Caenorhabditis elegans: one gene and its partners. The protein of the gene in region 1 interacts with the protein of each later gene in a pairwise test. Each region holds a gene or a part of one and is shown on either strand. Other genes may lie near its edges.

Region 1 (3,757 bases):
TATGTTAACCATAATAAACGAATTCCGATGTACTATTATTTCTTTTCAGTGATATTGCCAGCTCTGTGAAAGGCTACATGTCTCAATCCTTCCTCCACCAACAAGATGACGAAGCTCCTGATTGCACCAAGAATGTTCATTCTGAAAGTGATTTGAAACAAGCTGAGCCACAAGAATCGGACAAGCAAAGGTGAGACTTGTGAACTTATATAAATAACAAGCAATTTTTTTTTCAGTGACAAGGAATTGCCAAGCAATGAATGAGACGTTGGACAATTGGTTCGCCTACAAGAACACACTTACTGTGCTGCCATTTTGTACCATAACAATTCTATTTTTACCATACTAACCAATTTCACAATTACAAATTATATTTTCCTGTGATTTTCATCAACCATCAACCCATCTTGTGCTGTATTTGTATCTCATAGTAGAAACCTCCCAGCAACTAATTTTGACTTTTGGCTCGCCTGCCAACATCAATCTTATTACCCAATTTTGTACCATAACACTCTCTATTTCTACCACACTAACCAATTTCACGATTAGAAATTCTTTTTCCTGTGATTTTCTTCAACCATCTTGTATTGTACTTGTATCTCATAGTGCTCAGTTTCAGTCTTACCGGTTTTCCAGTCACTGTCCAGTACAATTTCACCGACTATTGTTGTTTATTTCGATAAAAATATTTTGTTCTAAATGTTTGAAATTTGTTGTAAAAACTGGAAATTACTAATCCAAACATATATCTTTCAAAAACAAATACCCATTGAATTATTTTGGTTTATTTTAAAAGTCATACCGTTTTTCACATGATGAAGATATTGAGAAAACGAGTTCAGGTTTAATGGTAGGACAAACTTGTAAAGTTCAATTATGATGTGGCTTGATTCGGTGCATTTTTATATTTTTCAAGTGATCAACCTAAGACCTCATTTGATCAACGAATGCTCGTATTTAACTAGGTTAAGTAGATAAAAACGTGTGGATCACTTTTTTAGTTAAAAGTTTCTTGCTGAAACGTATAGCTTTTGGAGCATACTTATTGGAAAAGTCTAAATAGTCGCCGAAAAATTGAAAGCGAGTATTGGCCAGCACTGTTTTAAATAGTTCAACAGCAGAAAATTGCACACCAATAAGACTTCAGAGAATTTTATTTTGAGAAACTCTGAACTATGCAATTTTTTCTTGAAATCCCTACAACTCTAATTTCTGCATACTTTAAACTCTCAAACGCCAGAATTTCATAAGGTTTCTGAGAAATTTCAAACGATCACATTCGCCCTTTCACAGCTAACTTAGGTTTTCAAATTCAAAGAAAAAAATCATGCATAAATAAGAACCGTTCCATTTTTATCTGTTCCAGTTTACAATGGTAAAATCAATAATTCGCGTGTGCACTGTTTTCATCATATCCATCGTCACAGTTCCGTCACGCACTTGCTGCGTCTCTTCCCTCTCACTTTTCCTTCCGAGGCACTCCATTCAGTCTTCGTTCCATTACACGTGGACAGTGGTCCGCTCTCTGTTTCATCTGCAGTTGTTGCGAAATCTCTTTTTTTTCTTTTTTCTTAACATTTTTCTACAATTTTTCAATTTTTAGGTTTCCATTTGTTGCGCGGCAATGGAAAATTGTGATGATCTTTCATCGGATGAGAATCTCCCACCACCCGGAGATCACCGTCGCGAACAGTCCCAAGAAAGAGCGAGAGTCGGGAATCGTGATGAATCAGTTTCTTCGACCAACATGCGTAGTATTGGAGGTAAAAAAAAATAAATTTAGATTCACTATATTTATTAAACCGGTTTGTTACAGGTGCAGTTCACAACCAGCAGCAACTTTATTGGACAGACATGTACAATGGCTCAAATAATTTGGAGAATTTTTGGCTGTGCTTCTCTGGAAACACGTCTCTTGCCGATGATCCAACCGTTCAATCCGATTCATCCGCGTCCACACAAAGTAGAACTAACCAAAGTGGTACAATTGCACAGGAAACGGACAACAGGAATGCAAGCAATTTTCCGCCACGATCAACAACTCGGCGTGGACAGACATATGAATCGAGAGACGAGTCTCAAGGAGGACAGGCGCCCTCACATCAGAACCAGGTTCCAGGTGAGCCTCAAATCTAAACTTTGATTAGAAAATTATCTACGTTCACAGTGCATTACTTCAACAGTCGGGAGAATCATATATTCATGTTGTATGAAATTTTCTCTCTTTATTTCTTACTGAAGTACCGGGTAATAATTGAATGAAAATAAGTTATCAAAACATAACAAATTGATAAGGTTCCAATTTCTATTTATTTTTTATATGAAACATTTATCGGAAACATAAGTACAACTTCATTTATTCTTTGGCACTTCATATATTAATAAGCTAAATTGTTTCAGGTGTTGATCGCGATGAGTATGCAGGTGACCGGAGTAACGTTTCCATCAATCTACCATCCGTAGATCAGTGGCGCGAATACAGTTTTTCTGATAATTCGTTTCAAGGCGAAAGCCGGACTGTCCAACGGAGATCATCCCGGGCCACACATCGCGTCAAAAATCAATTTGGCAGCATTGGAGATGGGAGAACGAGCAATAATACGAGCCTCCAAGAGCCAGTGATTCAGGATACAAGAAATCGAAATCGCTCTGAATCTTCTTCCACCATGTCATCGCAATCACGAACAGAACATGCTCCAATTTTCCGGTTGCAATATAATTACCAAAGAGAGGCAGACAATAGATCTTCACGATTGGTTCAAATACAAGGACATTCGGCTCCAAATAATGCAAACGGTCTACAAAATACGGGCGGTCAAGCTCCAGACATTGGTCCTGAGGTCAATGGTCAGAGTTCCGATACTCGAGCAATGAACATGGGTAATCAGATGGCTCAAGGCGATTCCCACGTTCCAATGAATTTCGTACCAAGACCTTTGTCTAACGGTGTTCCCAGGCTTCACGGAGTTCCCAGGCTTGTAGACATGTACGATTATGAACTTGCTCAGAGGGCTCATGCACGAAGATATCCGACTTCAAATATGCCATACGGTTTTCCAAATGCCGGCTTTCAAGCTCCTCCACACATGGGTTTGTGGCCAAATAATCAAAATGCAGATACTCGAGCAATGAACATGGATAACCGTTCGAGAGATCGTACCTTCCAGATGCCTCCTGCAAACGCTCAAGTTCCAACGAGTTCTCTGTCAGGTCTATTCAATTCATCTATAAATCACGGCTCCGGGAATCAACAGTTCCAAATGGGACAGAGCTCATCAGGTTCTGCACCTCAATTGCCTGCTCTTCCGGAAAATTTCCTGATGGCTCATGCAAACTCTCAAATTCCAACGAGTTCTCTGTCAGGTCTTTTCAATGCAATGAATCACGGCTCCGGGAATCGAATGAACCACAGCTCATCAGGCCCTGCACCTCAGTTGCCCAATCTGCCGGAAAGCTTCCTGATGGCTCATGGAATTGGTCAAGTTGAAACAAGGTCCCCAGCAGGTCCCTCCAATTCCTCCATAAATCACGGCTCCGGGAATCAACAGTTCCCAGTTCAACAAAGCTCATCACGCCCTGCACCTCAGTTGCCCAATCTGCCGGAAAGCTTCTTGATGGCTCATGGACTCTCTCAAATTCAAACAAGTTCCACAGCAGGTCCCTCCAACTCATCTATGAATCACGGCTCCGGGAATCAACAGTTCCGAATGGGACAGAGCTCATCACGCCCTGCACCTCAGTTGCCCAGTCTGCAGGA
Region 2 (3,757 bases), on another chromosome or scaffold:
TTCCGTTCTCAGGAATAATGACGAAACCCGAGCCACCACTCCATTTACATACAGCTCTCAGCTTCTTCTTCCCTCACTACTTTCAAGGCGTCGGACGGGGTGCTTCACAAACAATGCCATCTGTATTTGTTTGCTCGGCGAGCAGTAGCACAGGAGCTTTACATATGTCGCTGTTGTTCAAATACACGGTAGTGGAGGTGATAACTAGGCCGGGGGGCAGTGAAGTAATGAGTGAAAAAATTAAAATTTTGATAAAAACCGGCCAAAAAAATTTGACTTGAATCAATCCCGGAGGGTTCCCCAAAAGCCCTAAAACTTAGTAAGAGCCCGGTGCGGAAAAAAGGTATAAGGGTATCTAGTTTCAAGTGACCGCCGGCGAACAGGTAAGAAAAGAGCCGCGGGAGTTTTCTCAGAGCTCCCCGCCACCAAACAGGTGTTGCGATTTCTACCATAACTCGGTGGAGAGCATAGTTCGAGGAAAGTTGTCAACTAGCAAAATATTACTTGGAAAATTTCCTACAATTTTGTGGTTGGAAACTTTTTTCTTGCTATTCTAGTTTTAAAGTTACGAGGGTTTTAAAAATTTAAAAATAAGCGCCAGGAAATTTTCAAACTCATCTCTTATGCTCATTGAGCCATTTTCTGACTCGTGACTAAAATTTTCGACATGCCTATACCCAAATTAGTCTAAAACACCAAAAAAAAAAAATTAAGCCACAGCGCGGACTCGAACCCGGTCTTCTGCTTGGAAGCCCACCAAAATCCCACTGAGCCACTTGCACCAAATTTTCGAAATTTTATTTTTGGATTTTTTACTGCTTTGCCACAGAAATTGTGCATCGAAGAGCCCCAAGACCTCTGAATTCGATCCCGTCACCACAGGGGGTCCCCCCAACTGTTGCAAGTTGGCTAATGATGGCTATATAATGATGTAATATGGTTGCGTGAGGGGGTATCTAGACTCAACTGGGTATTGGAAAAAGACTAAGGGGTGCCTAAAATCAACTAGTCGCATAAATTGACCAAAAAAAAAATCCAAAATTTACAATAGGGATGTACATCATAATTTTTGATAATTTTTCTGATTAATGTCAGTTTAAAAGGCGATTCGGAGCAAGTTCCTAGTTAAAAATGTATCTTTTTGGAAAAATAGTGAAAATCAAAAATAAGTGTGCTCATTGAGCACCAGGTGACCCAGACATTTGTTTACGTGGATTATAAACTTCGCTAATTATTGATTTGTTTATTTTTCCGAGTTGCAACAAAGTTCGGAATTTTCTACTAAAAAACTTCAACCTAGAAGTTTAAAAGATAGAAATTTGAACTCAGCGCACTCAAATTAATCTAGAAACAGTAAAATGAAAAAATTGTGCCACAGTGCGGACTCGAACCCCGGTCGTCAGATTGGAAGTCATCCGAAATCCCACTGCGCCACTTGGACCAAATTTTCGAAATTGCGAAAAATGAAGAGTAAAAGCTCTGAAAAAAGTTTATTTCAGCTTAAAAATCTACATTTTTATCTGAAACCCCAACCCCGTACCATTAAAATTCGCAGTTCTACTCGTTTTGAGCTCCGAGAGCTTTTTTTCTGGGTTACAAGGAAATTAAAGCCAAGAATCATTTATATAGCTCATCCACACAAAAACAAAAATAAATGCTACAGCGGGGACTCGAACCCCGGGCTTCTGCTCGGAAGCTGTCCAAAAACCCACTGCGCCATTCAGGAACATTTTTAAGATTAGAAATATCGATTTTTCGAGTTTTTTAAATTAAAGTTCACGGTTTAGAAAACTCACAAAATACAGAGAACATTGTAGGAGAGGTTAGCTAGAACTGTCTAGGTACTGAATGGGGAAAGGAGGTACATGGAGGGGGGGGGGGGGGGGGGGGGGGGGGTGTCTTGGAAGAGCTCATCTTACAGACAGACCCTTCTCGCAGAACTTTCTCCAGTTTCATCACCATGCCGATATTTGATACTTTTGGGATGGGGTACCGGGCGCCCGGGGGCGCCCTGAAGCGACATATAACTCACCTCAGAATCTGGAAGCATTTTTTTTTTGATTCAGGAATTGCGAACAATTTCAGATATATAGATTTGGAAATTGTTGAGCAAAAATTTGAGCAACTGGCACGCAGAAGCAGGGAGAGACTGACTCTGATGTATTTGTGTGTGTGTGTGTGCTCTCGTTTTCTCTGCCGGCTCTCTGAGCTCTCGGAGCTCTCACCCCTGAGCTACCGTATGTCTGAGCCAGTCGGCTGTCTGCTCGGAGCTCCGCCTTTTGGTGGAAAATCGCATTATTTTCGGATTCTGAAAAATTAATTTTGAAAAAAAAGTTTTGTACGAGTGACTCAGTGGGATTTTGGAGGGCTACCAATCTGACGACCGGGGTTCGACTCCGCACTGTGGCATAATTTTTTTTCTTTGTTGGTTCGACTATATAAGCCCTGCTGAACACGAATTTTTAACATACAAATTTTTAACTTTTTATTGAAAATAAACTATCAAGCTTAAATTTTAATAGCTCATTGCACCTAGCACACATGAGACATATGCTGAACAGTCCCAAAAAATGCTCAAAATTTTTAAAAATCAGCTCAAACCTCGATTTTCTGAAAATTTGCTCGAATGGCTCAGTGGGATTTTGGAGGGCTTCCAATCTGACAACCGGGGTTCGAGTCCGCACTGTGTCATAAATTTTTTTATTTATTGGTTTGACTATACAAGCCCTGCTGAACACGGATTTCTGACTTATATACTATTTGTAATAACATTTTCAACATTTTGGGGATATATATATATCCCTTCGAAGCTTGGTCTCCAATAGCTTGAACAACTTTAAAACAAGTTCAAAATTGGAAAAAAAAAATATATCGAAATTGCTGAAAAATCAGCTCAAACCGTAATTTTCAAGTTTTTCTGAAAATTTGGCCGAATGGCTCAGTGGGATTTTGGCCGGCTACCAATCTTACGACCGGGGTTCGAGTCCGCACTGTGGCATGAATTTTTGTTTTGCTGTTCTCAGAATAATACAAATCTCCTGAATTCGAATTTTCAACTCTCAAAACCAGAAAGACTTGCTAGGTCGGCTCAAACTTAATTTCTTTTTGTGTACGAGTGGCTCAGTGGGATTCTAGCCAGCTACCAATCTGAGGTCCGGGGTTCGAGTCCGCGATGTGGCATAATTTTTTTTTTGGTGTTATTCTACTAAATTTCGACTTTCCGAGTTCGAATTCGGTCAAAAATTAGACATTTCCACACTGCTTTGTGATTTTTTCGAACTTTTATACCTTCTCAAAAAATCGATATTATTTGTTGATTTTACCCCCTTCCCTTATTTTCCTCTCATTTCTGAGAGTATAGGGAGATGGGGAGCGTGCGAAAGCGGCGAAGCGATCATATTTCAGTTTTCGGGAGCACAGAGTCGAGACGCTGACTTCAATTTTAGTAGTATATGGGACGAGGGACGATTTTGCAATGGAATATTGATTTTGGAGGAAACCCATTGAGTTTTAAGGCATGGGACCTTGAAATTCGGATTCAGAATGTCGATATTAGCCAAATAACACTAAAACAAAAAAATATGCCAAGGCGCGGACTCGAACCCAGGTGGTGAAATTGGTAGTCACCCAAAATCCCACTGAGCCAGTCGGACAAAAAGTTGAAAAGTTCTAGAAAATATGAAATTTGAATAGCAAAATAAAATTAGAAGTCTTAATAAGAAGTTTTCAATAATTCAGGTACTGCTTTCAAAAATTA
Region 3 (3,757 bases), 6.8 Mb from region 1:
TTATTATATTAGTTCAGTTACTTCCAAATGAACACTGCAACATTCCACTGCGTCTTATTCTTTTCTTCAAAATTGATAATATGTATCATTATCATGTGTTAAAATTTTCATTTCTCGCAATCTTTACTTATCATCTTTTTAGAAACCCAACTTTGGAATATTGACGCCTGTATTGAAAAATTGGTGAAGGATTGAAAAATTTCAGTTAAAAAAAGTTATTTTTTTATGAGATCCTTTTTGCAATAGTCATAAATAACACACATTGCAAGTTAAAATAACTTTTGAGGTTAAAAATGTTTTTTTTTAGCACAAGACGGAAGCACTGATTTTTTAAATATTCCAATTTCCTGTAAGATTTTGAAATGTTAAATGATGTCTTTATGAAAGATTGCTCATAAGGAGAACACTGTTATCAGTAAACCCCCGACATGGAGCACCCGTTGCAACACTTTTCTCCATTTCTTAAACAAACTATTCTTCTTTTATTGCTTTTTCTCGACGTAATTTCACTTTTTTCCGGTTGTAAAATAATAATATATTATAAGTTTTTACAACTTAAAAAATAAATTGAGCAAAAACTTTTTCAGAATAGTATGAAAGATAGTTAATTCATTAATATAATTTTTAAGTTGTAGTCTTTATGACATTGTGTACATAACAAGTAAATGCAATTTGTCTGTGAAAGTGTTTAAATGTACAAACAATAGGCAACTCATACCCACTAAATGAGTCATTAACGTGTCCTTCAAAAAATCAAAGTTCATAGTATTGGAAAACAGGATAAAAAGTCATATTAATGATGATGCTTTTCTTCAGCGGAAATAAAAAAAAACCTTTTCAAAAGTGTATCATGAAAATTAGCAATTGATCCATTGCATGAAACAATAAAAAAAACATAATTTATAGTAGTGAACTCCAATAAAATTATAATAAATAACAATCAAAGTTTTGCTTAAATAATTTGAATGCCAGAAACTTAGCCTGAAAGAAAATTAACTTTTTTTTATCATTCACAGTTTGCAATTTTATCCTGCAATTTGAAAGTTAACACAATTTTTAAAAATTATTTTTAAGGTTGTACTCTTGGTTATTCTAATTTGCCATGATTAACACTTTCCTATTGACCAAACTTTTGTCTAAAATGAATAATCCTGATAACGATTCTGTCTAACGGAAACCAAATGATGGCTTGTTTGATTTTCCACTAGAAACCTTTTGAAAAACAGCAAATCTGGGTCGTTATGCTGATATGATATAAATGAATAAGAAAATAAAGAAGAATAAAAATGAAGGACTTGATAAATAAGAGTCGACTAATTATCCCAACTGATAATTTACGACTAAGCTATCCCATTTCTATTTTCTCTCCCAGCCTTCCCAGTTCTCCTCCCAAATACATCCTTATCAAAGTTGTTTCCCCCGTCTTTCCCGTTTGTTCATTTCAAACCCACAACTGATGACTGTGTGCCTTCTCGTTTCACCACAGATAATCATTATTATTGAAACATACCTCTAAATTTTATTAGCCAATTTCACACCTTTGGCTGCTCACTCACTGATAGGTGATTGAAAGCACGAAAGAAAATGGGTTGAATAATGCGAGCGGGACGGGCAAGGGGATGGGAATGATTGGGGGTGAAATAGAAGCCATCTGATATCAATAGCCCTTTACTCTAGGTTAGGTACAAACCGCTCATTTCTATTATTGCTTTTTCTTCATTACACAAGCCTTAGACTCTCTATCTCACTATTTCACCGCCCCATCACCACACACTCTTTCTTGTGCCCAGCAGGAAGATTTGTAATGTTTTCAAACATTTTGTTCATTCAGTTTTTTCACTGCTTTTTCCTATTTTTTCTCTTCATCCGGCAGACAAATCGTTTTTCTTGTTCGAATTGATTCATAAAAAAATATTTGGCTTTTTTTTTCAGAAAACTGGGATGGACCTGGATCCGAACCTAGTTATTAACCATGACGACACAAATTTATCAGAGGCATCTTTTACAATGTAAGTTTTTTTGATTGAACGAGCCTGCAAATTTGAGGAAAAGAAACAATTTATTTTGATGTTGGGAGTTATCAAAAAAAAAATTTTAAAACTGTTTTAAAATATTTTTTACAGGGAGCAACACACCTCGAGCTATTCGGATATACACATGGGCTCAACGCCCTGCACCGGCCACCGCAAGGTGGATATGTGGCGGAATCACAACTTTGATAGCGGTTTCCAAACAATGAATCACAGTGAGGTACGAGAAAACAGAGGAGAGATAGACACACACACACAACAAAGATTAATGTGTTTCAATTTCAGGCTCCATCTATTATATCATCTCTACATCCGTCATCGCATCTTTCCGGAATGTCATCCATGGCCGACTATGAGCCGATCCCCACTCTTTCAGATCAAGTAAGACCATTTCATATCAAAATGCGCTGGTGGACAAAATTGTTATTTTTCTTCCAGCAAAAACAAAAGTTTGATGGGATCACGCAAAATCAAGCGGATGGGCAGTATAACACAGTTCGAGCAATTCCAGAACTCACTATGCTTATGAAAGATCAGGATAATGTAAGATTTTTTTGTTCAAAACTTTTTTGAAATATTCATACTCATAATTTCACAATATATGAATTAAAAAAATCCTCGGTTTTGACCTATTTTTTATATTTTAATTATATTCAAACATCTTGTATTCCAACATGCAACAATGCTCGAAATGTTACAAATTTTTGGAAAACTTAGCAACTTATCAGAACTGTGACTGAAATTTTTGAAAAAAAAACTTTAAAAAATTAGAAACGTATGTCTACTATTACTATTATTACTATTACTATTACTATTACTACTATTACTGGACTACTATTATTTCATTTAGGTATAATATGATGTTAATTGATTTTTAACTTTCAATTACTCAAAATAAATTATCAAATCTACAGTAAGAAAAATATTTAGTCGAATTTATTCACTTAAATTTTCAAATCACAAAATCTGAAATTAAACTATGAACTTTTGATTTCAGTACTGATATTAACACAAAGATAAATTGGTTCTAATGCTGCTTACTGATGAAGCCGGTGTTTGAACTTTTGATTGTTTGTAACATTTAAAATCGATTATCAAAATTGAAGTATCTGGAAAAAATTTAAAAAAATTGATTGTTCTGCTGAAAAAAACATTATTCAAACAAAAATCTTACAGGAGGTTGTGCACAAAGCTGTAATTCTGATGCAAAATATTGCGAAGATGGAGTGTGACCCAATGCGACGGCAAAATGAAGCTCGAATTGTGGACCCCCGTGTTATATTTACACTGCGTGATCTTCTCCGTGACAAAGTTGAATTCCCGGTATAGCTTGTGCACTTGCACAGTTTAATACATCATATATTTTCAGAACATCATTCGTTGCACTTTGGGAACATTCTTCCACATTTGCAACCGACAGGAAGGAATTGATCTTGTCACTCGAGCGATCGCAGAACAACCTGATATAATTCCAAATCTTATTAGGCATATTGGGTAAGAAAGTTAAATTTCAGAAAAAAATCATTCAAATAGCTGTTACAGTACTTATCCAAGTTCAATATACAAATATGCCATTCTTACTATGCATTCGATTCTGTCCGATAAGCAGAGAGGCGGACAAAGTGTGATCATTGCGCGTCAACAAGATGCGATTACTGTAAGATTAAAGAAGAAAAAAAATTGAAAAAAAAAAATTTACAAAAAATTGCAGCATGTGACTCCGTGGT

The links.
Region 2: the proteins of meg-2 (region 1) and eya-1 interact in binary tests that used the Caenorhabditis elegans proteins (3 or more experiments, as listed by UniProt).
Region 3: the proteins of meg-2 (region 1) and bar-1 interact in a two-hybrid assay, tested with the Caenorhabditis elegans proteins (one study listed by BioGRID).

What each region holds. Positions count from the first base shown.
Region 1 is NC_003284.9:13,923,976-13,927,732, reverse strand, and holds the start of meg-2 (Protein meg-2), read left to right. Parts: upstream 1-1,603; 5' UTR 1,604-1,624; coding exon 1,625-1,763; intron 1,764-1,816; coding exon 1,817-2,119; intron 2,120-2,400; coding exon 2,401-3,757. Other genes in the region: Protein meg-1, read left to right, coding at 50-190, 237-264.
Region 2 is NC_003279.8:14,229,193-14,232,949, forward strand, and holds the start of eya-1 (Protein phosphatase eya-1), read right to left. Parts: upstream 2,169-3,757; 5' UTR 2,051-2,168; coding exon 2,033-2,050; intron 1,839-2,032; exon of another isoform or gene 1,797-1,838; intron 1-1,796. UniProt on the Caenorhabditis elegans protein: Tyrosine protein phosphatase. Acts probably as a transcription regulator in the embryonic and postembryonic development of several tissues including pharynx, vulva and gonads. Required for the development of anterior tissues during late embryogenesis.
Region 3 is NC_003284.9:7,168,801-7,172,557, reverse strand, and holds the start of bar-1 (Beta-catenin/armadillo-related protein 1), read left to right. Parts: upstream 1-1,932; 5' UTR 1,933-1,941; coding exon 1,942-2,009; intron 2,010-2,123; coding exon 2,124-2,250; intron 2,251-2,315; coding exon 2,316-2,411; intron 2,412-2,468; coding exon 2,469-2,573; intron 2,574-3,206; coding exon 3,207-3,353; intron 3,354-3,399; coding exon 3,400-3,524; intron 3,525-3,572; coding exon 3,573-3,687; intron 3,688-3,741; coding exon 3,742-3,757.